2 linked regions of the Arabidopsis thaliana genome follow. The protein of the gene in region 1 purifies or fractionates together with the protein of each later gene. This does not show direct contact. Each region holds a gene or a part of one and is shown in the gene's direction. Other genes may lie near its edges. The genes, in order: AT1G17160 and AT1G72810.

Region 1 (16,597 bases):
ATGTATATAAAGTTCAGGAATTAACACTAAAAGCCTAAAACCATCAATATGGGATATTTAATTTTTGTATATTTATTTTGTAATAGATATATCCAGAGAAATGCATATAAATGTGGATTTATGTCACATAATTAGTTTCAATAGTTTATCATAAATACACACACATGTATATTACCTACATATCAATATTTCTGACACTCTTGTTTCTTTTTGTCGGTTTTGTACATGTTTCAATTTACAAACCTCTATTTTATTATAAACCTTCTCTAATCTCGACGTTTCTTTTTGTGATCTCCAACACGTCGAGAAACCAATTTGATGCTTCTTATAAGGAAAAAATGAAAACGAGATTACAAATTGTATTATTTTATGTAGATAGCATTGAATCGCCGTTTAATATTTGATGGCATGGGTGTCCATATCAATAAACAATTATTGTTAATTTGTTACCAAATAATTTGGATTTCATGTTTTGGTCAATGTCATTAGTTACTATACTAGTTGTAGCTGGCTCTATCATTTTGTTCAAAAATGCTATACGAAATCACTCACCTTAAAATTCAGTTCACGGCCTTAAAAAATCAGTTTCATTATATATTTGTTAACAACTTAATATGATCATTTCCCATTTCGAATATAAACGCAATAGAATTCGACCTAACATGGGTTGATCAAAAAGTAGAAATGCGACTATAATAAATAATTTAGAGCAAACATATTTTTATTAGTTGTTGGAAATTAAATGTAAATGGACGCTCTAAAGTAAGAAAAAGGTGAAGTGTACTTATTCAAGAATGAAAGACAAAAGCATGTGAGTAGAGGAACTCTTAAGTAAATCACTTCAAGGCTAAAAAAACCCTTAAACTCCCAAAGATGACCACCACTCTCACTCACACTTCAATTTATGTTCTCTCTTCTCATTTAATATCAAAGAGACCAAAGCATGTGTATCTTCATTTTTGTCGTCCTTTCTTGACATTTCCTCAACTACTAACTAACTATTCTTTTACTCCTTTAGCAAATCCCCCATTCATCACAAACTCTTCCAAACTATTGCTTTCATTGATAAAAATACATGGAATTGCTAAAATGGCAAAATCCCTCATTGATGCTAAGGTTTTACCAATAATGGAATCTCACGGAATCACGATTTATATTCCCCTTTTTTGTAAATTATATTCTTCATTTCATTTTTGTGCAATGCTTACCATTCATAATAATACAACCAAACAACCAACCTTCTGTAGGAGGAATTGAAAATCGTTTTGGTTTTTCTTATTGGCACATGTATGAAGTGATCAACATACACCCTCAAAACTAACTAACAATCTAAAACCATTCACTCCCGCTAACATAATATAAACAAAAGACTATATAACAACTTTGAAGCTTTCCTCTTTACCTTTGGGAACTCTCTATTGCCATGTAACTTCCCTGGAAGTCTCACCGCCGCTATCATCAGTCATATCTGATCTTGTATAGCTGATTCCTGCTCCTTGAAGGTAATGGTTACTATCCTGTTCTATGGCATTGTAATGACTGTTGTTACCATTGTCTGGAACAAGGTTTTGTGATGCAAGGTTAACGTTTTGATTCGAAGAAGATACGCCAACCATTTGCTGACGTTCGGCAAGAACAGCAATTGCACAAGCTAGCCCACCTGATGGAGATGATGATGACGGAGTTGATGGTTCCTCATTACGATCTTTTTCTGAAATATCATCAGGTGATGTGTTTCTCTGAATTCCTGGTTCCTGTTAAAGAAAGAAAATAGTTAGGCTTATCTTATTCAGATAAATGCTATATACTTCAAAGTTTACTAACCAAACAAATTACCTGCATCGAAAGCCATATTGCTTCCATGACCATTATATCTTCAAGATCAAAGTCAAACTGACCGTCCCTGAAGAGTTTTCCAGATAACCACATATCAGTCACCTGATATGAACCACTCAGATTCAAAGTTCCAACACGTATTACCGTTGTGCATATAACTTTAGCCAGAAAGGAATGATCTGAAAATGTAATACCATAACTGACTAATAAGAGACAATTTAAGAAGGGGTTCATTTTTAAGTTTTAACTGTAACGGTTCTCGAAGCATCAAAGTTTCTCAAGAGATAGGACTAATACAAATGAAATTTAACAGCTAAATAGAGAAAAAGGCTGTTCATACAACCCCATGGCATGGATACTCATAAAAGTCATTTAGGTCCATTTCTAGGAAAATGACAAACCTTGTAACCTGAGGGTGGTGAGATGGAAGACATGATTCTTGAGATGAAACAATTTCCTCATCATCCTCTGCGTAAAAGCTACTGATTGAGATTGCGAACCAAGAATAACAAAAGTGGTAAAATTTAACACATGTTGAAAGTTGAAACCGAGAGAAGAACTAACCTGCAGCAGAACCATACTCTGTATCAAGAGTCGCTGCACTAGTGCTAGAACTAGAAGAATATGACTCCAGACGTTTCTGCATTCTTTCTTCATCATCTTCAACTTCCTTCTGCCTCATCCTTATTTTGGCTTCTATAACTCGCTGCTCTTCCTTCATAACACAGAGATAACAATATTGGCAGAATCAGCCAGTAATTCCATCACATACTCTTAAAAACAATACTGTTTCAAGATTTAAGTCTGGCTTACAATTTGTTCAAAGCTCTTCTCCTCTTTAGTTTTCCCTCCACGATACTCGACAGCATAATTGGATGTTTTGCAAAAAGGGCATCTTACATATGATAAGGAGGACTCAAAAGTAGACATTTTCATATGTAAAGAAGACCAAAAGCTTAATGCAAACTATAAGAAAAAGGATACTGAGTAGGTTGAGCTGAATTAGGACTCTTCATCCGCAGAAAGCATTCTGTATAAAACCAAACACAAAGTCAATGACTACACCGGATAAGAAACATTCTATAGTTCAGAGATGACTAACAAATACATTTCTTCACCTGTACAAATGCTTTTCATACAACATCTTGACCTATTAAGACTCGGATAATACTAGAAACACAGAAGAACAAAAAATTGCATGAGAGTTGGTCAATTTCATCTTCTTGAATGAGGAAGTAAGCAAAAAAGGAAAGACTTAAAACAAACCAGAAAGCAAATAGGACATTCTTCAAGATCATGATGGGAGGAGGGGGTTTCTTCAAGACCAGGATAACAAGGAGCAAGCTTAGACTCTAAGATGAGTTTCTTAAGCTTTTTAATGTCAACATCTTTGCTCATGTATAAACCTTGTTGTGGCTTTGTGTATCTTTCGTCCACAATCTGTCTCTTCCTTCCCAGCTTATTACCCATTTCGTCTCTTTAAATGCCTTGAAATTAAGATAGTAGAGAGACATAATAAGAACACTCAAATAGAAATCAATTTCACTTTCTACAATTCACAAAACGCAATAAAGAGCTTGTAGCAATCCAAAGCCATTTCCTTTTTTCCGAAACTAACAAACAAAGTTTAAAACCCTAAATTCCAACCGTTGATAAGAATTGAAGCAACAAATCTTTTCAAACAGAAGAAAATTTGCAAACCCTTTGAATATAAATGAGTAATAAAGTTTGAGTCAGAGAAGAAACCTTAAAAGCTTCGAGAATCGAAGAGACTTAGATAACGAATGATAAGAGAATACAAAGATCAGAACTTTTCCTTTGCGAAAGAGATATACAGTAATGTTGTCGTCGTGAAGAAGAAAGATCCGATGAAGAACGAAGAACGAAACGGTGGAGTTAGTCGGATACGAAAGAAATGAATCGTCGTCATCTCTTTTGTTTTCACTCTTCCTCTTCTTTATCGTCACGCGCCCCTCTCGCGCGTTAACTTTCTCCACGCTTCTTCTTTTTTTTTTTGTTCCTTCTGATATTTTGTCGTAAAATCTGATAGACTATTATTGTTGCAAATATTTATTTCAAAAAATAATATAAGGGTCGAAAAAAAACTTTCAAAAAAAATAAACAAACTATGCTACTAATGATTTTATTGATTGTCTTTTTTAAAAAAGTGAAAGATAATCTACATATACATTTTTGCAGCCACTTTGTGAAATAAATTTTCAAGTTGAGACTTATTTACAGTGGCTACCACTGGCATTTAATAATTGTTTTTGATAATTAGAAAGTAAATCTTCGAATTAAATGTTTGCATTTAACTACCTTTCTAAAATCTCTCTGCATTAACTATACCATTAATTACTAAAATAAAATTTCCAAAATATTTAATATCATTTAAATACTACAAAATTATCATTTTTGATATTGCTTTTTTTATGACTATAACAATTCGATTATAAGCAGCAAACCGTAAAGATATTTGATAGCAATTAATTACTACAAAATTACAAAATATTTAGACAATGATTCATAAACATATCATAAATAAGATCAACATTAATAAAATAAATAGTTTTTTTTACGAGACGGGTTGGCGGGACGGGTTTGGCAGGAAGCTACTTAATAACAATTGTAAACTATAAAATAAAAATATTTTATAGATAGATAAAATTTGTAAACTTTTATATATACTAACTTTAAGGAAATAAATTGTCTCCGCGGTATACCGCAGGTTAAAATCTAGTATAATACATTAATGCATTAAGCAAAAAAAAAGAAGTTCACCTTCTAAGGAACATTCGTGTTTCACATAGGCTTGAGATAATAATATTAAACCCAATGGGCCTTAATATTGTGGGAAAAAAAAGAACGAATTATTAGTCTAGTCAATGGTCTGACCAAAGATTATACAATTCGCCGACCGGAGGCATCTCTCTGAAAAAACTATCGAACTCCGTCGTCTCTACACCTCTTTCTGCTTCTTTTCCTACGCCACAAAACCGCTGTGATGAATCTTTGCCACCGTACCCTTGACCGGAGAATTCATAAGGACCGTCGGCGACGACTGCGTTTTTACCTGTGAGTTCTTGAACAATTGTCTTGAAGCTCCGAGCATCTGTCTGAACGTACTGTGTGTTAATGAAGACAACCTTCATCGGTTCAGATCTCACTCCTGCAGACATATTTTTGGCGTTATATGAGATTTTTTCTTTTGGTTTGCTCTATTGAGTAGTATGCCTTTTGAATCTCCCCGATATTGGTTGTATTTATATGTGTAGATAAATATATGGGAATATATATAATATTTGTGGGGAGACCGAACTTTTATCATTTTATTGATTTTTAGTTATTGTTTAGAAACATTTATTATCATGGGGACTCCTAATTAGTATTATGAACTATATGGATAAGAGAGCAGATTCTTTTATTGATATAGCATTTATATTCTATATCCATAGTTGTGGATTGGAAAAGAATATTATTATATAGATCGAATGATATTTTGATTCTAGAAATTGCTTACGTGTGGAGTTACGATCATATGCTTTCATGACTAATGACTAATTATATACTGATTAGATATCAGGGAGTGGCTCAAATTTTCCACTATTTAAAGAAATTAGAATCAACTAATCAAACGTTTTTTACCAAAAAAAAAACTAATCAAACGTTGCATATAATAAAATCTATTTTAGAGTTTTTGTAACGACGGGGTCAACTGAAACTGGAGATTGTCACTTATTTCAAGAATTTCTATACACATGTGGGGTTTATTTTTTGCAACGTTTCACCAATATTTTTCATTAATTATTGATAGACAAATCTGATAGTTTTTTTATTTTATTTTTACACTAGTTTGTTAGATGTTTTTATGTTCATTTGTATGTTCCTTGACCATAAGGAAATTATTTTGTGGTCTTTTCAATTTTATTGTATTGGTCTTTGACGAGATTCTTGTACGGGTGAGACAGGTTTGACCGTTAACATTCAAGCAGCCTTGACGGACCAAATAATAAATGGGCTTTTGTTATTATTATGTGACCTTTATTTAATATCGATCGAAAGAATCAGTATTATATAGTGTAATGGGTCAAAGCACGCCTTATTTGATGGAATATTGGAATCACATTACATAACGTGAAACCAGCCTAAGATGCATACATAATTTACATATGCAGAACAGGTTTTGATATCTTTAGAATACTATAAGAAATAAGAAATTTGGAGTCTATGTGACTACGTTACTCAGTAACAAAAAAATGATTCCTCAGCATTGGTATATAAGCATATTTCGATTTTTGTATTATAGATTCCTTGATATGTATATAACTATATAAGTGTTTTTTTTTATATTATATGCAAACTAAAAATAAACTGTATACAGGTTTTAGTAGTTGATTTTTTTTTTCCTTGATATTTTTTTTTCTAAAAAAAAACAAATTCTTTCTAAAATCTTCATACAGCAAGATAACGATTCATATATTACTATTTAGTAGTTGTTTTAATAAAGGTAATATATATTTATTTATTTTTTGGTCAAAATAAAGGTAATATATATAGTAGTTTTTTACTGCATTGATGTAATTTGTTGCATGATTTTAAGAATATTTGATACAACTAATCTCACCAGATCAAGACCCCAAAGACAAATAAAATATATGAATCGTTATCTTGCTGTATGAAGATTTTAGAAAGAAATTGTTTTTTTAGCCCAAAATTGGTATAACAAGAATCAAATTTTTTTCGCAGATTTCTTAGCATATATAGTTCCTTACGATGTATTTCTTTTAAAAAGACCAAATCGTATTGTCTTTTAAAGAAAGTACAGATTTCTTTGTTATTTCAAAAATCCAAAAAAAAAAAAGAGAAAGGTTGAAAAAAACAAACAAAAAGAAAAACAGAGAAATAAATAGAAGCATGCAGTGCCAAAAGAAGAAGATGGCGCCGTGCATTGATTTTGTGTTCATGGCTTTTGGTTTGCTTCTCTTGCTCATCGCCGTCACAACAAGTCGCCCAATCACTCGGCCAAAAGTATTCGACGTTCGAAGTTATGGTGCTAAAGGTGACGGTAAAATGGATAACACCAATGTAAATGACATTTTCTGCTTTCTTTAACTAAATATTCTTTCTCAACTTCTTCATTCATTTCACATAGAATGTCGATTGACTCAATAAAAAAAAAAAATAGGAATAAACCTTTTATTTCCAAAAAAAAAGAATAACGGGCTATTTACTTGCTTTTTAATATTTGGATTAATTAAAATTAACTAGTTCAATTTAACTACATATTTTCTATTTAGTTATTTGAAGAGCGTATTCATTTATGTGTGTGTGTGTAACAAAAAAAAATTGAATCTTATAAGTTACTAAGAGTTTTTGTCTTACAAATAATCTACCTTCTTTGGTAATGTCTCATATAAGGCGTTCACAAATGCATGGAAAGATGCATGCAGATGGAATGGACCAAGCAAAATGTACATACCACTAGGAACATTCTATCTTGGTGGTGTAACGTTTGTAGGACCATGCGATGGTAAGATCTCGTTTGTCATTGATGGAACTTTGTTGGCTCCTCCGAACAACGACGACATTAAAAAGGAAATATGGATAAACTTCCGCTACATCAACTATCTCACGGTCTTCGGGGATGGCACCCTCGACGGCCAAGGAAAAAAGTCATGGTCACTAATTGATTGCCAGAAGGACAATAATTGTCCCAAACTCGCTATAGTACGTACGCTTTCTTGAACTTTCTTTTTATAGCTACTGTTTTTATGGATCAAACTGAATATTTTATGTCATTATATATATATATAACTTTTAAAAAGAGAATCTTGAAACATAAACTTGATTTAATCATATTTTCATGGTGTTTTGATACATTTGCAGAATATGGGGTTCGATTTCGTAAAAAACTCAAGCATGAATGGGATAACATCACTCAACAGTAAAGCCGGACACTTCAATTTCTTATCCGTTGACCACTTCAGCATCACTAGAGTCAACATAATAGCTCCCAGCAATAGTCCCAACACTGACGGAATCAAAATAGCTTTATCAAGTAACATGCAAATCTCAAACACTCACATCAGCACCGGAGACGATTGTATCGCAATGCTCTCTGGAAACACAAATTTTGATATCTATAATGTCAAGTGCGGACCGGGACATGGAATTAGTATTGGAAGCTTAGGAAAAAACAAAGACGAAAAGAATGTTAATGGTTTAATGGTTAGAAATTCGGTCTTTACCGGTACGACCAACGGTATACGGATCAAGACATGGGAATCTTCAGCTTCAACAATCCGAATTATCAATTTAGTGTATGAGAATCTACAGATGATAAATGTTGAAAATCCTATCGGCATTGATCAAAAATACTGTCCTTACCCGCCATGCAGCAATATGGTAACTTACTATGCAAGAAACAAATTTCTATCTTCTTAGAATCTTCATCGACTTTAAAATTAACATGTTAGTTCATGTTTTATCGCAGGGAGATTCTCACATTCAGATCCGAAACGTGACACTAAAGAACATTTGGGGAACATCAAAGAATAAAGTGGCTGTGAAATTTCAATGTAGCAAAACCTTTCCTTGCAAAGATGTTCAGTTAATTGACATTAACTTAACTCACCATGGAGTCGACGGTCCTGCAAGTGCGTTGTGTGAGAACGTTGATGGATCTGCTACTGGGAAGATGGTTCCTCCGCATTGTCTAAGTTGATCCAGTCCAAACATAGTCATGTACTCATGTTGTTTATTTTTTGGTTAACATATAAATAACATTAATGATCATAACAAACATGGATATATCTTTAACTTACATATAATTCTCAGATATGTTTAGTTGTTGGTTCTGAGTTGTGACATAACAGCGATTTCATAAAAGCCAAAAATCAAATAACGATGATGAAAGGGATCTCTTCAGTTTCTCAATCGATCAATTATAATCCATACATCGAATTCAATCGACCGCAGCTTCAGATCAGTACTGTGAATCCCAATCCAGCTCAATCTCGATTTTCCCGCCCTCGATCCCTCCGTGTTCTCTCACTCTCCGCCGATCCATCGGCAAATCGGAATCCTAAATCAGCCGTTGACGCACACGCGCCGCCACTGGTGGTTGTGGGATCTGCGAACGCCGATATCTATGTGGAGATCGAGAGATTACCCAAGGAAGGGGAAACGATTTCGGCCAAGACAGGGCAAACGCTCGCCGGAGGAAAAGGCGCGAATCAGGCGGCGTGTGGAGCGAAGCTAATGTATCCGACTTACTTCGTTGGTCGTTTGGGAGAGGACGCGCACGGGAAGCTAATAGCTGAGGCGTTGGGCGATGATGGGTGTGGGGTTCACTTGGACTACGTGAGATCTGTGAATAATGAGCCGACGGGACACGCGGTGGTGATGCTTCAGTCGGACGGTCAGAATTCGATCATTATCGTTGGTGGTGCAAATATGAAAGCTTGGCCTGAGATTATGAGCGATGATGATCTTGAGATTGTGAGGAATGCTGGTATTGTGCTTCTGCAAAGGGAGATCCCAGATTCCATCAATATTCAAGTTGCTAAGGTCCATTTTTTTACTTTCTTGAGTTAGTTACTTCAGTGAGAGTTGGTTTAGGGTTTAGGGAAGCTCTGTTGAATGGATGCAGCTGCTTTAGGTTTTGAAAACTATGAGAGGTTTTGGAATAGGGTTATAGAGTTGATTATGTTTGAAATATCATGTTCGAAGAAACTTAGGCTGCTGGTGGGTTTTATTGCAGGCTGTGAAGAAAGCAGGTGTTCCAGTCATCCTTGATGTGGGAGGAATGGATACGCCTATACCAAATGAGCTATTGGATTCCATTGATATCTTGAGCCCCAATGAAACTGAGCTCAGTCGCTTGACAGGAATGCCAACTGAAACTTTTGAACAGATTAGCCAAGCTGTTGCAAAGTGCCATAAGTTGGTAAGTCCCTTTCTTGCACATTATTAACTCCAAATTTTGGCTAATCCTTGCTGCTACTGGACTCTTTGAAAATGCTGGTTTAGTGGCTTTTGGGTTTAAAAGGTTTAAGGCTATGTTTTCCTCAGGGAGTTAAGCAAGTTCTAGTAAAACTCGGGTCCAAAGGATCTGCACTATTCATACAAGGGGAAAAACCAATCCAGCAGTCTATCATACCGGCTGCACAAGTGGTTGATACTACAGGAGCTGGGGATACTTTCACTGCAGCATTTGCAGTCGCTATGGTAGAGGGCAAGTCCCATGAGGAATGCTTGAGATTTGCTGGTAATAATTAGTGACATAAATCTGGTTTTCTAACCCGTAATTCAGATTAGTTTTGTCTCACTTTTTTCCGATGCCTGCAGCTGCAGCTGCCTCTCTTTGTGTCCAAGTAAAGGGTGCAATACCGAGCATGCCTGACCGAAAATCTGTTTTGAAGCTCCTTAAATTTAGTATCTAAAACTGATACTCTTTTCAAGTCCTCTTATCAATAAAAGTTGTTCAGATTTCATCCTCTATTTTCATTTTTTTTTTCTTTTTCATTTCACTCAAATTTTATAAACAAAAACACAATTCACCAGAAACAAGTCTTAGTTAAGTCAATTGTCCAAAGCATGCTGACGCAGGCAGTGGCCTAAGCAACTAACGAGAATCTCTTTTTTCTTCTTCTTTGAAAGCAACTATCGAAAATCTTTATAATTAAATAAAGATTAGCGTACAACACTCATTTCTCACATAAATCTGTTGTCAAAATAATATAACTTGTATTTAACAAAAATATGTGAACATTACATTAAAAAAACTGAATACTGATCAATATTAAGAACCTAAAAAGTAAAGAGGGAATTTTTGACTTATTATTCGCAAAACTCATAGTATTGATATGAGTGACACCCAAACAAAAAAATGATGTAATCAAGTGCGCCAAAAGGAAAGAAAGAAAACAATCCGACTTAAAGAAGACAAACAACGAACAACAACTGTAGAACTAATTTAATACAACTTTTTTGGCTTTAAGAGCAAGCAAAATGCGATTCAAAACCCCTAAAAATTACCAAACATATTTTCTATTCATCACACATATAGACACAAAACAGCAAACGAGAGAGGTCGTAGTGAGAGCTTAATCAAGAGCAACAATGGCAGATGAGGTGATTCTTCTGGATTTCTGGGCGAGTATGTTTGGGATGAGGACAAGAATTGCTCTGGCGGAGAAAAGAGTTAAGTACGATCACAGAGAAGAAGATCTATGGAATAAGAGCTCCTTGCTCCTCGAGATGAACCCGGTTCATAAGAAAATTCCGGTTCTCATCCACAATGGTAAACCGGTATGTGAATCTCTCATTCAGATCGAGTACATAGACGAGACTTGGCCCGACAATAACCCTCTCCTTCCCTCCGATCCTTACAAGAGAGCTCATGCCAAATTCTGGGCCGACTTCATCGACAAAAAGGTAGAAAATTTACGGTTTGGTTTTGGTTTATTTTGTTGTTTCTAGGTTTTGGTTTCGGTTTAAGTATTTTGGATTGGTTTGGTTCGGTTTCTTCCGCTAGAGTCTCTTGTGTAAGTTTTTTGTTTTTACCAACGGATCAGGTGAATGTTACGGCGAGAAGGATTTGGGCGGTCAAAGGTGAGGAGCAAGAAGCAGCCAAGGAGTTAATCGAAATACTCAAGACGCTAGAGTCTGAGCTTGGAGACAAAAAGTACTTTGGAGACGAAACTTTTGGGTATGTAGATATAGCTCTCATTGGATTCCATAGCTGGTTTGCAGTGTACGAGAAGTTTGGAAATGTCAGTATCGAATCTGAGTGTTCGAAATTGGTTGCGTGGGCCAAAAGGTGTTTGGAGAGAGAGAGCGTCGCTAAAGCCCTGCCTGAGTCAGAGAAGGTCATTACATTCATTTCCGAACGTAGGAAGAAACTTGGGTTGGAGTAAATCTCTACTTTGTTATGTTGATCTGTTGTTGCTTTGTTCTATTTTCTTTGAGGTCTATGTAATGCATAATAATACCAATTTCAATTTGTGAGATTATATTTCCCTTTATGTAAACTCGATTTCAATAAAAGAAACTTTGTTGTGATGTTCATTCAATGGAGAATTGTTGGTACATTAATCTGGTTGCCATAACGGCGCTTGCTCTAATACCAAAATCGACGTAAATATATGATAAAGATTAAATTCGTTGATTCAATGAATAACCTCACATGTGAACAAGATTTGACGATCGTGATTCAAAAAATATGATTAACTTAGTTAAATAACCAGGAGAAATGCTAAACCGGTCGAAAAGAAGAATACAAGAATGAAACAAACTAAGTGAAAACTTTGAGCCAAAGAAAAAAAAACTGAAGTGAAACTAAACCGATTAGCAAACCCCGATTAAGAACTTTTTAACCAGACACATCTAAAAATCGTTGGATATTTGGCCCAAAGATAAGTCATTTAATCATTTGATTTTTGAAGTATTGGAAAAAATGTTAAAAGCAAATAGTTATTATATCTTACCATGCAAACTCATTCTACACCGTTTATTTGTTTAATCGTTTATTGGTTATTTTATTTTTGTCGTTAGATGCACAAAAGATACAAGAATGGGGACAATGTGAAATGGGAAATGGATGCCAAACACATATAATGAGATATGCATATACTCTATATTTTTAAAAAAGAGGTATGTATAATTGTATATTAATCAATTTTATTAGGTTTCAGACAGCTAAAATTTGTTTTTTTGTTTTTTTTTCGTCATCCTTAAAGTAAATATAGTCCTAACCAAAGAAAAGTAACCAATAAAAAGTTTGGAAAAAGTGAAGGTAAAAAGGTATGATGGCGTAAGCAGTGGCATAATCAATTCAACTCTGTGAATCATGTGGTCAATGTCTTGAACCGCAAAACATTAATAAATGAGTTGTTCAACTAAATAATTGTATACTACTCGTTACCAATCTCTAGGTTTAAGCTTTCTGATTTAAAATTTGTCACATAAATTTTACACCAAAATATTTATTAATTCCACATTTTAATATAAAGTACGAGAAACTTTACACGAGAAGAAATCAACATGAAATTTCAACATATAAATTACAAACCCCCTTGATAGTTTTTTTTTGGTATGTATAACCCCTTGATAGTTGATATACTCATATTCAATAACACAAAGTATTGAAGCTAAATAATCTCTGACGACTTTTAAACTAAAGCTAATGAAAAGAAAATGTTTAATCAAAAGTTTATTCCCTTCATATTAAAATGCTTTAGTGCGATGAGATTTAGTGTAATGGGCACGTTAATGCATTTCTGACTTTAGCGGCAAGCAAATGCGATTTCGTTTGTAGTTTTGAGTTATTGTCTCCTCTATAAATTGACCAAAACCTTGTTCTCTTCACCATAATATACTTAGACACAAAACAAACAAACAAAAATATCTTAGTGAGCTTAATCAAGAACAGCAATGGCAGACGAGGTGATTCTTCTTGATTTCTGGCCGAGCATGTTTGGAATGAGGACGAGGATTGCTTTAGAAGAGAAAAATGTCAAATTCGATTACAGAGAACAAGATCTGTGGAACAAAAGCCCGATTCTCCTCGAGATGAATCCGGTTCATAAGAAAATACCGGTTCTCATCCACAATGGTAATCCGGTATGTGAATCACTCATCCAGATCGAATACATCGACGAAGTTTGGCCTAGCAAAACCCCACTTCTTCCTTCTGATCCTTACCAAAGAGCTCAGGCCAAATTTTGGGGAGATTTCATTGATAAGAAGGTAATCTATCTTCCAAAAATAAGCTTAAAAATCAAACCCTTCTTAGGCAAGACATAGACGTTAATATTTCGTATAATGTGCTTAGGTGTATGCTTCAGCGAGGTTGATTTGGGGAGCTAAAGGCGAAGAGCATGAGGCGGGGAAGAAGGAGTTCATCGAGATACTCAAGACACTAGAGTCTGAGCTTGGAGACAAGACTTACTTTGGAGGTGAAACATTCGGTTATGTTGATATAGCTCTCATTGGATTTTACAGTTGGTTTGAAGCGTATGAGAAGTTTGGGAGTTTCAGCATTGAAGCCGAGTGTCCAAAACTGATTGCTTGGGGTAAAAGGTGTGTGGAGAGAGAGAGTGTGGCTAAGTCTCTTCCTGATTCGGAGAAGATCATTAAGTTCGTTCCTGAGCTAAGGAAAAAACTTGGGATCGAAATCGAATAGATTCTACGCTGATATGTTTTTATGTTTCTGTTTGTGTTGCTGTTTCTGCTCTGTTTCATGTTCTGTTTCTTCCTTGTTTCGGAAATCTTTAAGATAATGTCATCAAAATAATACAAATATTTACTTGAAAATTCGGTTGGGGTGGTTAAGCATGCGTAATACGTTGCATTAGCTTCAATTTTTTAGATCTTCATTGCGATGATAAGTCTAGTAAACCGAATTAAACCAGTACCAAGAAAATCCAATCCAAAATCTAAAACAATCGATTTGTTTTATTTTTTCTTTCCCCTTACTAATTACTATTATAGTATTATCAAAACAAAGCGTCAAAGAAAAAAAAAACTAACAAACCGACTACATTGTTGATTTTATTAAAATAGATTTTGGTGGAGTGCCAAATCTGAATAAATTATCGAGGCTGTACTAAACCAAAACTAATGAGTAATGACAATTACAATTTGTAATCTTTGTTTGATAGTCATAGACCAAATCAACTAATTTCAAACATTGGACTGAATCCTTTATAATATAGCCCATCCGAATATCCAAAACATAATGGGCTTTTGGGCCCAAAAACAAAATCAGTGTGTTGAGTTTAGCCGTGATAGTCTATTTACTTGGGTCTTAGTGGGCTTTAAAGTTTAATTGTACTATTATATTTTTCGAACCAATAATTGGAATCGAATCTGGAGGAAAACAAGTTTACGTTGTAGTTTGTACACCCAAGTCCCAAGTACCAATAACCATCCGACTACCGTTGCTGGATTATGTTTATGTAGGTTATGTTTCTGTTTTCTATTGCTCTGTTTTTTTTTTTAGTTTTGCCTTTTTTGTAGGTTATATGTTTCTAAATGATAAGAACTAACTCTGAAGTTGTTTTAGTGTGGACTGTGCCACTGTGGAGCGCGTTTGTTGTGTTGTGTTGTGCTGCGCTATCATCAGTCTCGGATTCAATCATTCAATGGTTTTTAGGTTTTCTAATAAAGAATATCGTCAGTGGTGCATTAGGAAGGGGAATCTAAACTCAAAACCTTCTACGTTACCTAGAAGGTTAGCTCGAGCCTCTTCCACGCATGATCAGATTTGAAAACCATATTAAATATTTGTAGTAAAGACAATTTAAACGTGGTTCGAAAAATCATTAAGTATTCAGCCTCTTTTTGGTGATCAGTAATCAGTTTATTAAAATACCACGTGAAACTTGAAAATCAAATACTACCTGTCTTAGCCTGGAATAACAAATGTCAAATTTGTCTATGAACTATGAAGAGAAGGTCTAATTGAGTAAATTGTATTGCAGCCAAAAATTATTTATTTAGAAAACTATTAACCCTTTTCGTTGTCCTGAAAAATTGAGTCTCCAGACATCATCTTACAAAAGTGAACAACCAAAAGATATGTTTTCACTGTACTTGTAAGCTCTTAGTTACTGTTAAAAGAGTTTTCCAATTCAAATTTTTTTTTTTTTGCCATACAATTCAAATCTATTTTGTTAGTATTAAAATTATAATAGGCTTATCAATTCAAAATATTTTGTCAAATCATTCTAAAATAAAAAAGTTTTTTCAAAGATATTTTGAATTGAATATTAGTGAATTCCACTTTCTTGATGTAATATGTAACGAATAAATATTATTAGTTGTTGAAACGAATAAAAACAAATAAAAACGAGTGAGAGTATTATTTAAAATTTTAAAACATGTGACTTGACAATACAATAATTTATACATAATCAAATAACCGATGCATCTTGATTAGCATTAGGTAAAGATAATGTATTCAATTGTGTTAAATAAGTTTACCCTTTTTTGTTAAAGTTTTGGAATTAAGTAAAAGAGATATAAGTAGCAGAGAAATACCAAAAAAAGAAAAAAAAAAGCTAACTACAACGCAACACAAGCATAACAAATTTGTGTGATTTCCTCAGATTCAAACTTAACAAAAAGTTTGAATCTTCAATACCGTTCTTACCACGAGCAAATACAGTTTCTTTGAAGACTAACACAAAAAATGGGACTGGTACAGCGGATTCAATCATACACCCCAGTACTATCCTATCATGCGTTTTTTTACTTTAAACGTCATTTTAGTAGACTATATTATGGTACGGTCAAGCTTTATCACCCTCCTTTTTATGGAACAAAATAAAACACTTCCCAAGAAGAAAGCTTATAAAAATCCCAATAATACAGTCAGTACTGATATCTTCTTCCAAATCAAGATATTCGTTGACAGGTAAGGAAATCACATTTCGATACAATAGAGATTAGAGGGATATAATAATAAAGAAATAACAATATCATGGCCTAAACGTGAACAATAAAAAATAATCCACATATTCTATAAGGAAAAAAAAAAAAAATAGAACATGCGACGTGGTACTCTATAAATCCCCCCAAAACCGCAACCTCTATCATCCTCATCTACATTTCAATAAACACAAAGAGTTGAAAACATTAAATCGATATATCAGAACTAAACCGGATCTGAAAAATGGCGAACGACCAAGTGATTCTTCTTGATTACTGGCCAAGCATGTTCGGGATGAGGACGAAGATGGCTTTGGCTGAGAAA
Region 2 (16,597 bases), about 22 Mb from region 1:
CTCTGGTTTCTTTGGTTTGAAATCACTCGACATCAAGCGGTTCAGTTACAGGTTGGATCCTGTTAATTTCAGCTGTCTTAGCTTTGCAGACTTTCCATGTCTGACCGAGCTAAAGCTGATAAACTTAAACATTGAAGACATCCCTGAAGACATATGTCAGTTGCAGCTCCTAGAGACACTGGACCTCGGTGGAAATGATTTCGTGTATCTACCCACATCCATGGGACAACTTGCCATGTTAAAGTACCTCAGCCTCAGTAACTGTCGCAGACTTAAGGCACTGCCACAACTTTCTCAGGTGGAGAGACTCGTACTTTCTGGCTGTGTGAAGCTCGGATCATTGATGGGAATTCTTGGTGCAGGCAGATACAATTTGCTTGATTTTTGCGTTGAAAAATGCAAGAGTCTTGGATCATTGATGGGAATTCTTAGTGTGGAAAAATCAGCTCCAGGCAGAAACGAGTTGCTTGAGCTTAGCCTTGAAAACTGTAAGAGTCTTGTGTCATTATCAGAGGAGCTTAGTCATTTCACCAAGTTAACATATCTAGATCTCAGCAGCCTCGAGTTTAGGAGAATCCCAACAAGCATCAGAGAGTTATCCTTTATGAGAACTCTCTACCTCAACAACTGCAACAAAATCTTTTCACTGACAGATCTTCCAGAGAGCCTCAAGTATCTCTATGCACATGGGTGCGAATCTCTGGAGCATGTTAACTTCTCTTCGAATCATTCTTTCAACCACTTGGACTTTAGCCATTGCATCAGTCTAGAATGTATTAGCGATCTGGTTCGTGACTTTATGAACGAGGAATATTCTCAAGAGGTAAGGCTCTCTTCTCTATAATCTGTTCCCTTTAACCCCCTCATAAGCTATATTTTTAAGTTGTGACTTGATTGATTCTCATTTTGCACGTAGGCTCCATTTCGACTTGTTTGTATAACGAAATACTCAATTGCTTCTACCAACAATATGCGAACCTCATGGAGGGAACCTATGAGGATCAAACTACCTAAGATTAAAGCTGCCCCCAAGCTTGTGGGATTCTTTGTCCAAATCATGGTTGTTTGCGAAAAGCCCTTCCATCTACAGTTTCCAGCGTTTTCTTATAATTGGGACTGTGAAGGTAGCAGGTTATATCGGATTAACCTCAAACCAAATCTCTATCAATCATCAGAGATGATGGAGGACAACAATAATAGACCATATAAATGGCATCACCTGGTCATTGTCCAAATCCCAACTGGCATCATCAGCGCAGAAATTGATGAGGTGCAATTCGAATCCCATATCCAAGTTCCGGAGCCGGGCGACGAGATAATTTTGTGTGGAGTTGAACACGTTGGGTTCGTTTTAAAGTAGCTGGTGCGGAGATCAATTCTTAAGATGATGATGGATCTGCAGATTTCTAAACACAAGGATTTGTACCAATTTTCGTTTTGGAACTAAATAAATTACTACCCATGTAACCTCGTGTCGGTTTGCTTTTATAATCGGTTTGGTATTTTTCGGTTTAATTGTGACTTGATTTTATTTTTTTCCTTTTAAGAGAACCAATTTTTTCTTTCTGCTTTGTACTCGATGTCTGCCCTTTTTGCTCAACAAGCTTTACCAGATTGTATTCTGGTATTTCATCAGGCTAGAAATGGAGAAAGAAAAGTTGGAGCTGCCAAACCCACAGGAGTTGTGTTCTCACTGGAAATGTTACATTAAATATCATTGCAAAACAACTACTAATACATTGAATCTCCTTTGATTTTGGTCCAAAGAAAGGTGAATAACTTTTGATTTTGGTGCATATGGGATGATGACGGACTGATGAGTACCCAATATCCAGTGCCCACGTGTCCTAATTCTTATGGATCAATCAAGGGCTTAAAAGCCCATAAACATTAAACAGAGGGAATAAAGGAATGCTAAAAACTAATTAAGAAAACATCAAGTAACAATTATTATGTTTTGGTTGTTACTTGTTACTTCCAAGGATAAAGGAGGGATTCCTATGCTTGACTTGCACTAGAGCTTTATTTCATTGCAAAAAAGGTTAGGTACTTGATTAAGAACCCAACCTAAGTTTTAGTATTATACAATCCTTTTTCCCATCTCATTTTACATGCTTACACTTTCATTAAACTATTATACTCAAGGAAACTGGTTGCAGGTCTATAACTTGTAAATTAAAACTGTTCGTGTTATTTATTCCCATGATAAAATTGTAAGAGCGTGTGAATCACGAGCTTAGGAGAGCGTGTGAATCACGAGCTTAGGAGAGCGTGTGACATCAATATGGGGAGGGGCGGCTAAAGACTAACGAGTAAAGGCATAAGGGGGAAATTAAGGACTGTTCAGAGTTCAGAAATGTTTTTAGTCTGGAAACGACAATACACTTTGGACAAAAAGCTAAATAACATTTTAAAAGCTTCATACAAATTAAAAATATAATCAAACAAAAGCTAACGTGGCCAAGATAGCTAATTACTTTTTTGGAATCATTATTAGAGATAATGGAAATTAAGAAATCATACAGCCAAAACAAACCGTAGTTATTATATTCGTAACAAAAGATGGGGGAAAAGTTAATATAAAACAAACCTTATACTAGTATATATAATACATGGCTCATAATACATTACTGCTAAATGAGCAAAAACAAATAAAGGTAAAGTTCTTAACGGCTTTGTAGAGATAGGAATCATTAATTTTAGAGAAAAAAAAATCTTGAATTGTACGTTTACCTTTCCAGAATTACATTATTTGTTGGCTTTTAATTGTTAATCATTTTTGTTGTGTTTTTCCTCCAAATTATAAAATTTAAAAACTGTGTCAGGGAATTTAGGAATCTAATATAGTTGGACGATTTCGTATTAATAAAGATTTTCAAAAAAAGAGTCTGCTCTAATCGTTATTTGGGGGTAAATTGATTCTATAAGGTAGGGTTAGCCAGAGAGCCTTATTCTGTGTTTTGGGTTAAAGTGAGACCAAATAAATTAAGATATTTAAAATGAATAATTAAGAGCACTTAAGACAATAATTAACCCAGAAGGAGAAGCTGGTGTAGTGGTGGTTCTCATGGCGATGTTGGTTTCCCAGGAAAGGTAAAAGAGACGGAGACGAACCAAAACAAGGAAGAAAGAAGAAGATCTTACATACGAAGATCACTCTCTGATTCACTCTGAGAGACAAACTGGTTTACTTTGGTTCTGTTTGACAAAAGGAGACATGCAAAAATAAATCTCTATCCCTTGTTTTTCTTCTTCGCTTCATCGATTACTCAAAGAGGTTTCTTTCTCTATCTCTTATCTATTTCTTTCTGCATCTGTAGTCTCTTTGTTCGAAAAAAAGATGTTTAATTTCTGTCAAATTTTTCTCCTTTTTTCTTTGTTCGATTATTGGTGTATCTGTCTTGTGGCGTGCGATTGATGTTTACTGATTCTGAAAAATTCTTGCTAAAATAATTCATCTTCAAGTCAACGACTTTTTGCCCAAAAGTGATGACGGGAACAAGAAATTTTTCTTGGTCGGAAAATTACTAATTTTAGCCAATCGTAGCGATCTCTGCAATCGTGTTTTGGTTACCCAAGATAGTACGATCGAATCAGTTCGTTTAGAGAATTAAAAAATTACTCAAATTTAGAAACTTCCAACTTCTGTTTCTTTCTATTCTGGGTTTTTTCACCCACTTGGATTATTAGCTTTAAAAATCTAATCTTTGAGTCATTTTTGATTGTTATTTAGGTTGTTGGTTGTGAGAATAATTAGCTTGTTAAGGAAGACGTTATGATGCATCAGATGTTGAATAAGAAAGATTCAGCTACTCATTCCACTTTGCCATACCTTAATACTAGCATCTCTTGGGGAGTGGTTCCAACTGATTCCGTTGCTAATCGTCGCGGTTCTGCTGAATCACTAAGCTTGAAGGTTGATTCAAGACCTGGGCATATACAAACTACAAAGCAAATCAGTTTTCAGGACCAAGATTCATCTTCAACACAGTCCACTGGTCAATCTTATACTGAAGTTGCTAGTAGTGGTGATGATAATCCTTCCAGACAAATCTCCTTTTCGGCTAAATCAGGTTAGATTGTTGGTATATATATGTTTTACTTCTTGTGTCATTGACAAAAGAATCATCCTTTTGCCATAAAGAATGTTATCCTCTTTCTTACTTTCTCAGTTGTTTCTCTAGGATCTGAAATAACTCAACGGAAGGGGTTTGCAAGTAATCCTAAACAAGGCTCGATGACTGGATTTCCGAATATTCACTTTGCTCCTGCACAGGTATTTGTAACTCTATGAATACAGTAATCATAGCAAAGCTTTTGATTGTAGACTGATATCTTATGTTTATACATGGTTCAGGCTAATTTCTCATTTCACTATGCTGATCCACATTATGGTGGTTTATTAGCTGCAACTTACCTACCACAGGCACCAGTAAGTACACCCTTCGTTTCCAAGTGGGAGATTTACCTTTCAGTTTTATCTGTCCATCAGATCTCAAGTCTCTTAATCTCTTTTGCAGACATGCAATCCTCAAATGGTGAGTATGATTCCTGGTCGTGTTCCTTTACCAGCAGAGCTCACAGAAACTGATCCAGTCTTTGTCAATGCGAAGCAATACCACGCAATTATGAGGAGGAGACAGCAACGTGCTAAGCTTGAGGCTCAAAACAAACTAATCAGAGCCCGTAAGGTAGTTACCAAATTTTGGTTTATATTTTAAACAAACGCATACACGTAGAATTGCTTTGCTCATCTTTTCTTTTTCTTATTGCAACAGCCCTATCTTCATGAGTCTCGACATGTTCATGCTCTTAAAAGGCCAAGAGGATCTGGTGGAAGATTCCTAAACACCAAAAAACTTCTTCAAGAATCCGAACAGGCTGCTGCTAGAGAACAAGAACAGGACAAGTTAGGCCAACAGGTAAACAGAAAGACCAACATGTCTAGATTCGAAGCTCATATGCTGCAGAACAACAAAGACCGCAGCTCAACCACTTCTGGCTCAGACATCACCTCTGTTTCCGACGGTGCTGATATCTTTGGACACACTGAATTCCAGTTTTCAGGTTTCCCAACTCCGATAAACCGAGCCATGCTTGTTCATGGTCAGTCTAATGACATGCATGGAGGTGGAGACATGCACCATTTCTCTGTCCATATCTGAGACAGTGGATCTTGGTGCTGTGTTCATGTTCCCACCAAGAAGGGGAAGTCATCCTTGGCTACTACTAGTTCTTTCGCTTGTTGTAACTTCAGTGTTTTTATTTCATATTATGTCTGTGTTAGACATCACAAGAACGACCAAGATCTTCACTTTGAAACACTCTATTACCTTTTCATCTTCTGTTACCATGGATCTCTTGTCTAAACTAGTGATATGATTCTTCTGATAAACTTTCAATTCCTCTTTTGTTTTTTTCAGGATTTATATATGTTTGTTTTTGCTTCATTTGTGTCGGCAATGAAGAAGTCTCCTTATTCTGTTTGAAAATGGCGAAGAAAAATACAGATTCTGGTTCCACTCCATTGATTTCTGTGAAGAGACACATTCGGATTCTTGAAGTATTTTACAATTTAGTTGACAATGTTTAAGAAAACATTTAATGAAGAATCCAGTATATATTAGATTATGTCTTATTCTTGATACACTTCTTATAAATAAAGTAAAAAAGGTTGAAAGATTCTACTTTGAGTCTCATTTTATCTGTCTGAGAAGATGTCATACACTTGAAAATACTACCATTTCTTCCACACGTTCATGAATATTTTTTTCAAAATATCAAGGCAGTCTCTATGCATTATTTCCTATTTAAGATATAATATTTTGATAAGGTAAGAAGAAACGTAAAATACTGCTCCAAAACACGTTGACTTATGGGACAGATACACACACACTTGTGTCCCTCAAATACTAACAAATGATCATAATTTAACTTCTGTAAAGAAAAAGACAGCATTGTGAAATATATAAAGTCACAATCCTGTACATATCACTTTCGCAAGTGATTCATGAATTACTTCTAAATATAACATGTTGCCAAATCAAAGCTTGTCGTGTGTGCTTATTGATGTAAGACTGCAATTGCCAAATAAAGTCTTACAAGTCATCTTTTAACATTGCAACATATCATGTCGGTTTAGTAGCACGGTTATGGTGAACCGATACCTGGAAACTGAATTCAAGCCAATGTGGAAAGAACATTTATTTATTTAAAAACAACTGAATTTAACACATTCCTTACATATGACTGGAAACAAATGAAATAGCAGAAGAGCTAGATAAAGAACAAGATAAGTAAGAAAACTAGAGACATTTCCATAAAAGATTCTTCTATGTGGATTCCCAGTTGTTATCACTATGATTTAGAATAAAACCCGTCATGGTTCTTAGCAGAAAGCCGTTTCAAGAACTCGTAGGTAGTGATCATAGTTGTTGCAGACATTGACATTGAAGCACATCTTGGTCCCAATCCTCTATAACAAGCCGTCCATCCACCTTCTCTAACCAAGTTTCTTACAGTCTGTCCAATACTCGGTCCACGCTTCCCGTTGTTACTACTATCTTCCCCATCAAGAACCTGCAATCTCGTCTTGATTGTGTCGAGTGGCATTGTAATCAAAGCAGAAACACTTCCAGCAATCGCAGCACTAACTCCTTGAACAGCCATTATCGTTTTAGAATCTGGTTTCATCGTGGTACTATTGTTCCCGCTTTCTTCGTCTTTCTTACAGACATAACACCCAATTCCACCCCAAACCATCCGCTGTGCAACAGAGTAAGACGCCCACCAAACAGCATTAGACGGCGCATAAGTCAGAATCGATATCCCAAACCCTCTGTATAACCCCTTCGGTCCATCAGCGCGAACGATCTTTCTAAATGCATCAAACCCGTTAACATAATTACACCTTGATGCATTAACAAGACCAGCACTTCCTTGAACCATAAGCCTTTGGCTAACCACATCAACAGGAGTCCAAACAAGCTGTGCAGCCATCGCAGCACTCAAACCTCCAACCGCATTAGCAACAGCAGCAGCTTTAGCCTCTGTCAACCCCAAGCTGACAGCAGCAGAGCCTACGTTACTCTTAGTAACCTCCAAGGCAGTCATGTACAAAGCACGAGCAGGGATAGTTCCCATCAAAGAAGTTCCAAATCCTCTGTACAATCCCCTTAAACCTTCATGTCTCACAAGAGTAAACGCAGTTTTAATACAAGAACCTTGCGAATGACACACTTGTTGCCGAGTTTTCATCAAAACCGCAGGATAAAGAGCTCCAGATACCCCTGAAAACAAAGCAGCGCCTAAAACGAAAAACTTGGATTTATCAAGCATCTCCCAATTGATATCAGCTGGTAAATGAATCTCCTGAGCCGATTCTTCCTCGGCCGCACCCAAATTCATCTTCGCCACTTTCTAACCAACCCAGAGAAACACACACAAAAAAAAAAACTTTTTTAAACAAGGAACAAAAAATGTTCCTGAGATGTGTTTCAGAGCTCAATCTCTATCTGTACAACTTTTCCTAACCTCGCCGCAAATTTCTATTTACAATCGGAGACTGTAACCTATCCCCAGGATTAGAAAGACCAAAAATTTCTAAAAAAGACAAAACAAAAATTAGGATTCAACGAGAACGAAAGAGGAAAGATTTCAGAAGCCAAATCTCAAAGCAAGAGACGACGGCATTTTTTGCGTCTGTGGAACCACGTCTTCGATCCAAAACGATCACCAAAACCATGCGGATCTAACTCTAACAACAACATCTTCGAAAACAGAACCGATTAATCGACCTTACCGAAGAAACGATCATCCTCGCCGGTAAGCGATAAAGAAAAATCTAACCGCGAAACTCGTTTCCTTCGCCGGAGATATCCAATAAGCACCAATACAAGACCGATGTTAGAAGAGAGAGAGAGAGCTCAAAGAGAGTAATCGCGACGAGAGCACACGAAAATGAGACCTTATACAGTTATACTGTTACGAGCGAGTCTAGGGTTCCGGTTTTTTTCCCCCTGTAAATATACCAAATTGAGATACCGGTATAGATTATAAACCGGCTTGCATTTTCCGGTTCGATTAGCTGATTTCTCTATGTAACAAAATGCCATTTACAGTTTTCAAATTTACCGGTTAAAATTGACCTAACCGAAACAAATAAAGTGGAAATGTTTTAGTTTTTGATTCAACTAAGTGTATCATCAATGGATTTTATATTGTTTCCATATTGTGCAAAATGTAATCAGAAAATGATCACGATGTGCAAATTGGTTTGCTTAATTTAAGATTGAATTACAGATTTTTTTTTATCGAATATTAAAGGATTTATTAAGGAAATAAGGAAGATCTGGTAAAAATCAGATGCTGGCAGGTGACACGTGTCACTCATGACTAAGGTCTTAAACTCTTACGGATAAAGAAAGCGACAAACTGGGAGCACTCTTAGAAGACGAAGAAGATCGACGGCAGAGATAGAAAAAAGCTAAAAGGTCGTCATCGAAAACAACGGCTAAGATCTTGTTCTCGGATCAGACCCAACAGAGGAGAGAGAAAATGGATCCGCTTTTGTGATTTGGATAAGATGACGTGGCGTCCATATCCTTGGGTCGTTGGGCAGAGAAGAGAGCAGAAGGCAGTGTGAGAGGCACGTGATCTGTCACGTGATTTTTGATTCTTTTTCACTGTTACACTTCCACTATCGTTCGAGCTATATTTTTTTTTATGAAAAAAGAATCTAAAGATTTATCAGAGTTCCTCCTAGAGATGCTAAATTTATAGGAACAGTGGTGGTCCTTGGACAATAGTATGATACTACCAAACACCAACAGAAATCATTTTTCTGTCGTTGTATCATTTACTGACATAACTTGATTACAAAAATATAGTATTAATTAGCTTTGGGAGTTTCACATATTTTAGTATCAAATCAAATATACAACAGAAATCAATACTATAGTATTTGGAAATGCCCACTACCTAAACATATACTACATTTCTTTTTCGGTCCACGCTTACTTATTACATCGTTAATCCTTATCTTCAACAGATTAGATGTTAAAGTGAGTAGACAAGCTTAGACTGATTCCAACCATGTGATTTGATTCCAAAAAGAACATTATAGCTGTGATGGGCTTGAGTGACGAACAACACTGTTGGTTCTGTATCAACTGGTGATGACCATTATTTCAGCCCACAACTTGGAGATAAAAGAACCAAATCATAAGCAGTTTCCACAGACTAAAGCACCAACAAAAACTATGGAAAGCTTTTATCGAGCAAAAGATCACGAGTCACAAACATAACAAAAAAGTACACGAATCATGAAATCAAATTTCTCAAGTTCCCTATCAAAACGCTTTAAAATACAGAAAAGGGATCCCTTCTCATTTATTGTGTCGTTCTCTCCCAAACCCCAAAACACTATTACCCAAATTTAGAGAGAACACACAACGGTTAGTTGAGGTATTCAGAGTTTGAATCAATTCTAATTCAAGTCTTTTATTTGAAGTATAAGCTTATTGGGCTGGTTTTTCACAATGACTGTATATTTGACCCAATCCGCCCAATGTGACGAAAAGGAGGACCCATAACTAGTGGTGTCCTTTACTTTCTTTTTCTTTTCCAAAAACGTTAAGATCATAAACTCCATACCTATATACATTAATATGAACTATGAAGTGTCGTCTACTTTGTATGAATGTTGCTCTCATAGTCTCATCTCATTATTTATTTTTGTCCTTTAAAATGACAAAAAGATAGTGACATTTATTATTTATTTTTTGTTTCCGTCGCTTGTAATATATTTATTTGATTAATAAAATGGGACGAAATCACAAATATATATTAGAAGAACAAAGAACAATAGATACAAATAATAGTAACATTATATTTTACTCATAAGAATATACTTCATGTGTGGCACATGTCTCATGTAGTCCATACATTCGTGTTTTTTTTTGTTGTTGCATATTTGATATCTTAAACACTAAAATTTACACATGATTCATGAATGTCAAAGATTCATTTCTCCCTAGTGCTTCTTTCTCTACCATCAAAAGAAAATTCATGACTAATAATCCATACAAATAATAGTAACATTTTACTCATAAGAATATACTTCATGTGTGGCACATGTCTCATGTACTCCATACATACGTGTTTTTTTTTTTTTTTTGCATATTTGATATCTTAAACACTAAATTCACACTAGATTCATGAACGTCAAAGATTCATTTCTCCCTGGTGCTTTCTCTACCATCAAAAGAAAATTCATGACTAGAGAGATATATACATAATTTGGAAATTGGAATGACAAATGAAAAACAAACAATAAATGAATACTTTCGTCCCAATATTTATTAGGTTATAAATAAATTACTTGTGACTTGTGACTAAAGGTGTCAACAATCATTCTTCTATCCAATCAATATCATCAAACTCTTCACTTTACTCTCTCTCTCACTCATAATGGCCTCATTCTCTCTTCCCCACTCCGCCACCTACTTTCCTTCCCACTCTGAAACCTCACTTAAACCTCACTCCGCCGCTTCCTTCACCGTCCGTTGCACCTCCGCCTCTCCCGCCGTTCCTCCACAGACTCCACAGAAACCCCGTCGTTCACCCGATGAGAACATTCGAGACGAAGCTCGTCGCCGTCCTCATCAACTCCAAAACCTCTCCGCACGTTACGTCCCTTTCAACGCTCCACCTTCTTCAACAGAATCCTACTCCCTCGACGAGATCGTCTACCGTTCACAATCCGGTGCTCTCCTCGACGTCCAGCATGATTTCGCCGCCTTGAAACGCTACGACGGAGAATTCTGGCGTAACCTTTTCGATTCTCGCGTCGGTAAAACAAATTGGCCGTACGGATCAGGCGTGTGGTCGAAGAAAGAGTGGGTACTCCCCGAGATCGACGATGACGACATCGTCTCTGCTTTTGAAGGAAACTCAAATCTCTTCTGGGCTGAGAGATTTGGTAAACAGTATCTGCAAATGAACGATCTTTGGGTGAAACATTGTGGAATCAGCCACACTGGCTCCTTTAAAGATCTGGGCATGAGTGTTCTCGTTTCTCAGGTGAATCATCTTTCATAAAGTTTACAACTGTATAACCATCTTCAATAAAGTTTACAACTTTATGTTATTTTTTTGTTTCTCAGGTGAATCGTCTCCGGAAAATGAACAAACCAGTCATCGGAGTTGGTTGCGCTTCTACTGGAGATACCTCCGCTGCTCTCTCTGCTTACTGTGCTTCCGCTGGAATCCCCTCGATTGTCTTCTTACCTGCGGATAAAATCTCCATGGCTCAGCTTGTGCAGCCGATTGCAAACGGAGCGTTTGTGCTTAGTATTGACACTGATTTTGACGGATGTATGCATTTGATCAGAGAAGTTACGGCGGAGCTTCCTATTTACTTGGCGAACTCTCTCAACAGCCTCCGTCTCGAAGGTCAAAAGACGGCGGCGATTGAGATTCTGCAGCAGTTTAATTGGCAAGTTCCTGATTGGGTCATTGTTCCTGGAGGCAATCTTGGTAACATCTATGCGTTTTACAAAGGGTTTCATATGTGTAAAGAGTTAGGTCTTGTTGATCGTATCCCTAGGCTTGTTTGTGCTCAAGCTGCTAATGCAAATCCACTTTACTTGCATTACAAATCTGGGTTTAAAGAAGATTTCAATCCATTGAAAGCAAACACTACATTTGCTTCTGCTATTCAGATTGGTGACCCTGTTTCGATTGATAGAGCTGTGTATGCGTTGAAGAAATCTAATGGGATTGTTGAGGAAGCTACAGAGGAAGAGTTGATGGATGCAACAGCTCTTGCTGATTCTACTGGTATGTTTATATGTCCACATACTGGTGTTGCATTGACGGCGTTGATGAAGCTGAGAAAGTCAGGAGTTATTGGAGCGAATGATCGGACTGTGGTGGTGAGTACAGCTCATGGATTGAAGTTTACACAAAGTAAGATTGATTATCATTCTAAGAACATAAAGGAGATGGCTTGTAGATTGGCGAATCCACCAGTGAAGGTTAAGGCAAAGTTTGGTTCAGTTATGGATGTTCTCAAGGAGTATTTGAAGAGCAATGATAAATAAGCTTTGTGTGTTTGTTTCTTCTAAAGCTCTTCACGTCCTATGATGATATTGTTGGCTTTGTTATTAGAGGAAGTAATGAAATTTCGTTTCTTTGGACTTGTGGAATAAAACGACTGGTTGGTTCCGTGATGCTCGCTAGTTGTTTCATATCAAACTACTACTGAGTTTTACATATGCTCTTAACAAAAGTACTCACGACCTGTCTTTTAACCTCTTCTTTTAAATCTTTTAAGAAACAATAAACTTATCTAGAAAATTAACTTCAAGAATTTTTTTCATCTTATTTAAAACCAAAAGAACTCAAAATTGAGTTAACATTAACATTGGGTCAAAAACTTAACTAGAACATAAGAAAAAACTCCCAAGTAATACAAATTTAAAACGTTCCTCTTCTTCTAGGTAGTCTTCTTACTTTAGGGAGTAAAACTAGGTGATCTAGTTCCACGAGCAGTCTCTTCCTTCATGCACTACCAAAGGTTCAAGCCTTCAACAGAAGGTACAACGGCCCTGATTACCACAACGGCCAGGAAAAGGCCAAGTACTTCCACTGCGAATCGGTTCAGCCTTACCAACTACAAGATCCCATCCTCCCACGTCATGTCTACCAAGTTCCAACGCCTTCTCTGCTCCTTCTTTCAGATCAATGTAAGCATATCCTAAGGAACCACCGGTTCCGTGGCTTGGGGGAACAAATACGCGTGTGATCTCCCCAAAAGAACTGAAATATTTACTCAATGCGCTCTTTATATCATCCACAGGAAGGGAAGCGTCAAATCCCGTAACAGAGAACGATCGACCATTGACACCAACAGAAAATAAAGAATCTTTAGCAGCTGGCTTGACACCAACAGAGAATAAAGAATCTGGCTTGAAACCAGCAGAGAATAAAGAATCTTTAGCAGCTGGCTCGAAACCAGCAGAGAATAAAGAACCTGGCTTGAAACCAGCAGAGAATAAAGAATCTTTAGCAGCTGGCTCGAAACCAGCAGAGAATAAAGAATCTGGCTTGAAACCAGCAGAGAATAAAGAATCTTTAGCAGCTGGCTTGAAACCAGCAGAGAATAAAGAATCTTTAGTAGCTGGCTTGGCGGCACTTGCAGCAGGTTTGTTTACAGGTTCCTCAGCAGAAGACGATTCATCCTCCGAAGAAGTGTCCATGTATGAGTCATCGCTCTCAGAAGAAGCCTTAGCAGAAGTCTTCATGGCAGGAACTTTCTCACCCTTGGCTGAGATGAGAAGCTCCTGTATATCCGCCTTTATTGCCAACAAATCCGCCTTTGTTACCAACAAATCCACCTTTGCTTCGAGACGCTGAAGACGATCAGCGAATTCTTTGATCATCTCCTTCTCATCAAGGTTTTTCAAGACGGATACTTTCGTGATCTCCGTCTGATCAGATTCTTCCTTCTCGGAAGGAGAAATCACGTCTTTGGCCTTAATCATAGCAGGAGCTGCTTCAACTGTGGTTGCGGATAACTTGCTAGACTCAGCCATGGAGAAGATGACAAGAAAAGAGAAAGAGCGATTTTAGGTTTTCGAGAGACAATAATCCAAGCCTGTTGTTTAAGATATATATATTAGGTTACATAAAAGATATATGGCGTTTTTCTAACGCAACTCGGTGGTGGTTCATCGTCACGTTGCTGTTATTAGGTTACAATTACATAAAAGATGGCGTTTTTGTAACGCAACATTGCCGCCATATTATTATTTTTTTGATAAATTATTAAATTATTACAAATGTTTTTTTAATTATGTATTTTATTGTTAACAAAGTTTTTTCATTAATTTAGAAGGGAAAAAAAAGTGGAATCGACTAAAAAAGGCAAAGAAGTGGGGTTTCAATTGGCTGTGTATTAAAAAGTTGAGTTAATCAAATTAAATATTTATAAATACCTATCAATTTGTTTCTTGTTTGATGATATAAAATTAAAGCTATAGTATTTTTTTCTTTTTTTTCTAAAAATATTGAATATATTTTTCAAAGCTATAAGTTCTCCATCCAAACATAGTTCAAAATAAAATAAAAATGGAGAGTATTACAAGAAAAACTAGTTGTATAGAGATTTTTTTTGGTTCATCCCAAGATGGGCTAAAAACTGTAAAAACGGATACTAGGAATTGTATACACCACAAAATTACGTATAAGAAAGTCTAAACAAAAGTAAGGTAAAAAAAACCAACACAGTAGTAATCCAAAAATCCAAAATCTAAAAGAAATAGCCTCTATACGCTTGGGCTGGGCCTATAACCCGTTGAAGATCCGGATTCATGAAGTCCGGGTTCGGGTCCTAAATTGGATCTCCCTCTTTTCACAGAGTTCATCTTCTCCAATTTGAGTCCGGCTCTGAATCTTGCGATGAAATCATCGGCTTTGGTATCTACGTCGGGGCTCGGACAGAACATACTCCCGGCGGCCTCCTTACTTCCAGCTGATTGAGCTACATCCGGATCATCAGGTTCGTCGGAGCTTATGCTGATGTCACTAGCCATCCTGACGTAATCTCCACGCTTCACGAATTTCCAAGCCGGCATTTTAAACGGCGGAGGAGGAGGCGGCGGCGGGATCGGCATTAGTGGTGATTCGCTTCCTGTGCCTACGTATTGAGTTACTTTAGCTGGCGGATTTGGTTTGGATGTCCGTGATTCCACCGGAGCTTTTCGGAGCTTCGAGGTTGATGCGCGTGATTCATATCTCCGTTCAGGTGGTGGTGGAGGAGGAGGAGGCGGTGGATTTGAATTGTTTTTTTTGCTTTTACCTTTTTTGGATGAGAAAAGCCCTTGGAAGAAAGGTGGTGGAGGAGGCGGCGGCGGTGGTGGTGAATAGACCAATGGAGGATCGGAGCCGAAGAGGAGATCGAGGCCATCGATGCTCTGTTGTCTCTGCTTCTTCTTCTTTCTCCGTAACGCAATCAGAAAGTCTTTCGTTGCTCCTCCTTTCTTCTTCTCCTGTTTATTGCTCTTTTGATACACAGTCGCCGGAGGTGGAATCGGCGTCGTCGTCGCTACAAAATCATCTCTTTCTTTCTTCTCTTCCTGTGGAGAAACATCTTGGTACACTCTATTAGTCTTTCTCTTCGCTTGCTTCGCTGGTGGAGGACGTGGCGGAGACGGCGGAGGAGACGGAATATACGGCGGAGCAGAAGGCACTTTTAGCTCTTCTACTACTTCAGCTTCCGCCGTCGCAACCACCTCAACTTTCTCAGTTTCCGAACCGCCGTTACGGACCTTACTTCCTTCTCCATTATCACCGTCCTCTGTTTGATCTACATCTTCCGGCGGTGGTTTACCTTCCTCATGCCAGTTTCTGTAACTTTGATTTGGATAGATCGGATCTACATCTTCATAACGGCATTGACTTACACGTGTATCATCGTAGAATCTCCACCGTTCATCGGCTTCGTATTCCCGGAGCCTCAGATCTGGATACGAGCTAACACTTCGTAATCTACTAAACCTCTTGTACACCGTTTGATCACCGCCGCCACCACCGCGATCATCGTTCCAATAACGCGGCGTTGTACCACTGTTAGATACACGACTTCTTCGATCAATAATCGATGGTGAAGTCGAGAATTTGTTACGAATGTCTTCTTCTTTGTGATGATTGGATTCGTCATTATTGGTGTTGCGGCTGAGGAAGCCGCAAAGGACGGCGAAAAGGACGAGAACGAAGTTGAGATAATCCCAGCTTTTACGGACTAAATGAGGTCGGAAAATCTGAGAAACAGAGGAGAAGAAAGGAGGGATAATGAAGACGACTATGAGGATTGCAGCTGTTCCGGCGAAGAATATTTGAGTGGCGATGGTGGTTGTACGGCCACCGAGACTTGCAGTGCGGCGGAAGTAAGTGTTATTGCGGCGTGATTGAAGCCAAAACGGCGTAGACGCGTCTCCATCATCTTCTTCCATACTCTTTCTATTATTTGGCTTTTGATTAGAAAGACAACTTTTAGTTTAAGAGTGGTTGGCTTACGATGCTGTAATGTGTTTGCTTTTATGCTTTTGCTTGGATTGATATTTGTTTTTTAAAATGCTTGGGGACTTGGATTTGGTCATTTTTATTTGTTTTTTTTTCTTTCTGTGGATTCTTACTTTAATTTACACATTTTTTACAACAAAAAATATGTCTTTGGAGTATTTTAGAGATTTTTTATAGGAGACAAGCAATCGGATAATTGACGTATTTAGTTGAATATCTATGTCAAATTCATCAATTTGCATATATATTTATTTATTACATGAAAATACATTGCGCATTTTACGTAGAGGATATCTGAATTAATTGTATAATGTTCAAATATGTACTAGTTGACTATATACAACTTTACTCGGTACATCTGACCAGTTCTTGAGTTTGAGTCTCGGCAACACAACAGTATCTAACTCCCTAGTCCTAAATGTATGTTTCACAATGATTAGTTGTATAGATAGATATTGCAATTTTCACAAACTATCCATATTACCTGATAATTTGATGTCCACAAACTCTG

Evidence for each region.
Region 2: the proteins of AT1G17160 (region 1) and AT1G72810 fractionate together in Arabidopsis thaliana (co-fractionation; one large-scale study listed by BioGRID). This does not show direct contact.

The regions. Positions count from the first base shown.
Region 1 is NC_003070.9:5,858,936-5,875,532, forward strand, and holds AT1G17160 (pfkB-like carbohydrate kinase family protein), read left to right. Parts: upstream 1-8,599; 5' UTR 8,600-8,742; coding exon 8,743-9,405; intron 9,406-9,598; coding exon 9,599-9,784; intron 9,785-9,909; coding exon 9,910-10,105; intron 10,106-10,185; coding exon 10,186-10,280; 3' UTR 10,281-10,501; downstream 10,502-16,597. Other genes in the region: AT1G17145 (RING/U-box superfamily protein), read right to left, coding at 1,416-1,754, 1,837-1,903, 2,238-2,304, 2,401-2,551, 2,650-2,731, 2,821-2,866, 2,955-3,006, 3,103-3,306; AT1G17147 (VQ motif-containing protein), read right to left, coding at 4,719-5,015; AT1G17150 (Pectin lyase-like superfamily protein), read left to right, coding at 6,772-6,921, 7,255-7,563, 7,723-8,241, 8,330-8,560; GSTU24 (glutathione S-transferase TAU 24), read left to right, coding at 10,960-11,274, 11,415-11,756; GSTU25 (glutathione S-transferase TAU 25), read left to right, coding at 13,273-13,587, 13,673-14,023; GSTU26 (glutathione S-transferase tau 26), read left to right, coding at 16,517-16,597. UniProt on the Arabidopsis thaliana protein: Catalyzes the phosphorylation of ribose at O-5 in a reaction requiring ATP and magnesium. The resulting D-ribose-5-phosphate can then be used either for sythesis of nucleotides, histidine, and tryptophan, or as a component of the pentose phosphate pathway.
Region 2 is NC_003070.9:27,394,267-27,410,863, reverse strand, and holds AT1G72810 (Pyridoxal-5'-phosphate-dependent enzyme family protein), read left to right. Parts: upstream 1-10,389; 5' UTR 10,390-10,470; coding exon 10,471-11,082; intron 11,083-11,165; coding exon 11,166-12,104; 3' UTR 12,105-12,590; downstream 12,591-16,597. Other genes in the region: AT1G72840 (Disease resistance protein (TIR-NBS-LRR class)), read left to right, coding at 1-823, 917-1,360; NF-YA3 (nuclear factor Y, subunit A3), read left to right, coding at 3,776-4,073, 4,185-4,276, 4,358-4,432, 4,521-4,694, 4,779-5,165; AT1G72820 (Mitochondrial substrate carrier family protein), read right to left, coding at 6,358-7,407; AT1G72800 (RNA-binding (RRM/RBD/RNP motifs) family protein), read right to left, coding at 12,591-13,598; AT1G72790 (hydroxyproline-rich glycoprotein family protein), read right to left, coding at 14,331-16,016. UniProt on the Arabidopsis thaliana protein: Catalyzes the gamma-elimination of phosphate from L-phosphohomoserine and the beta-addition of water to produce L-threonine.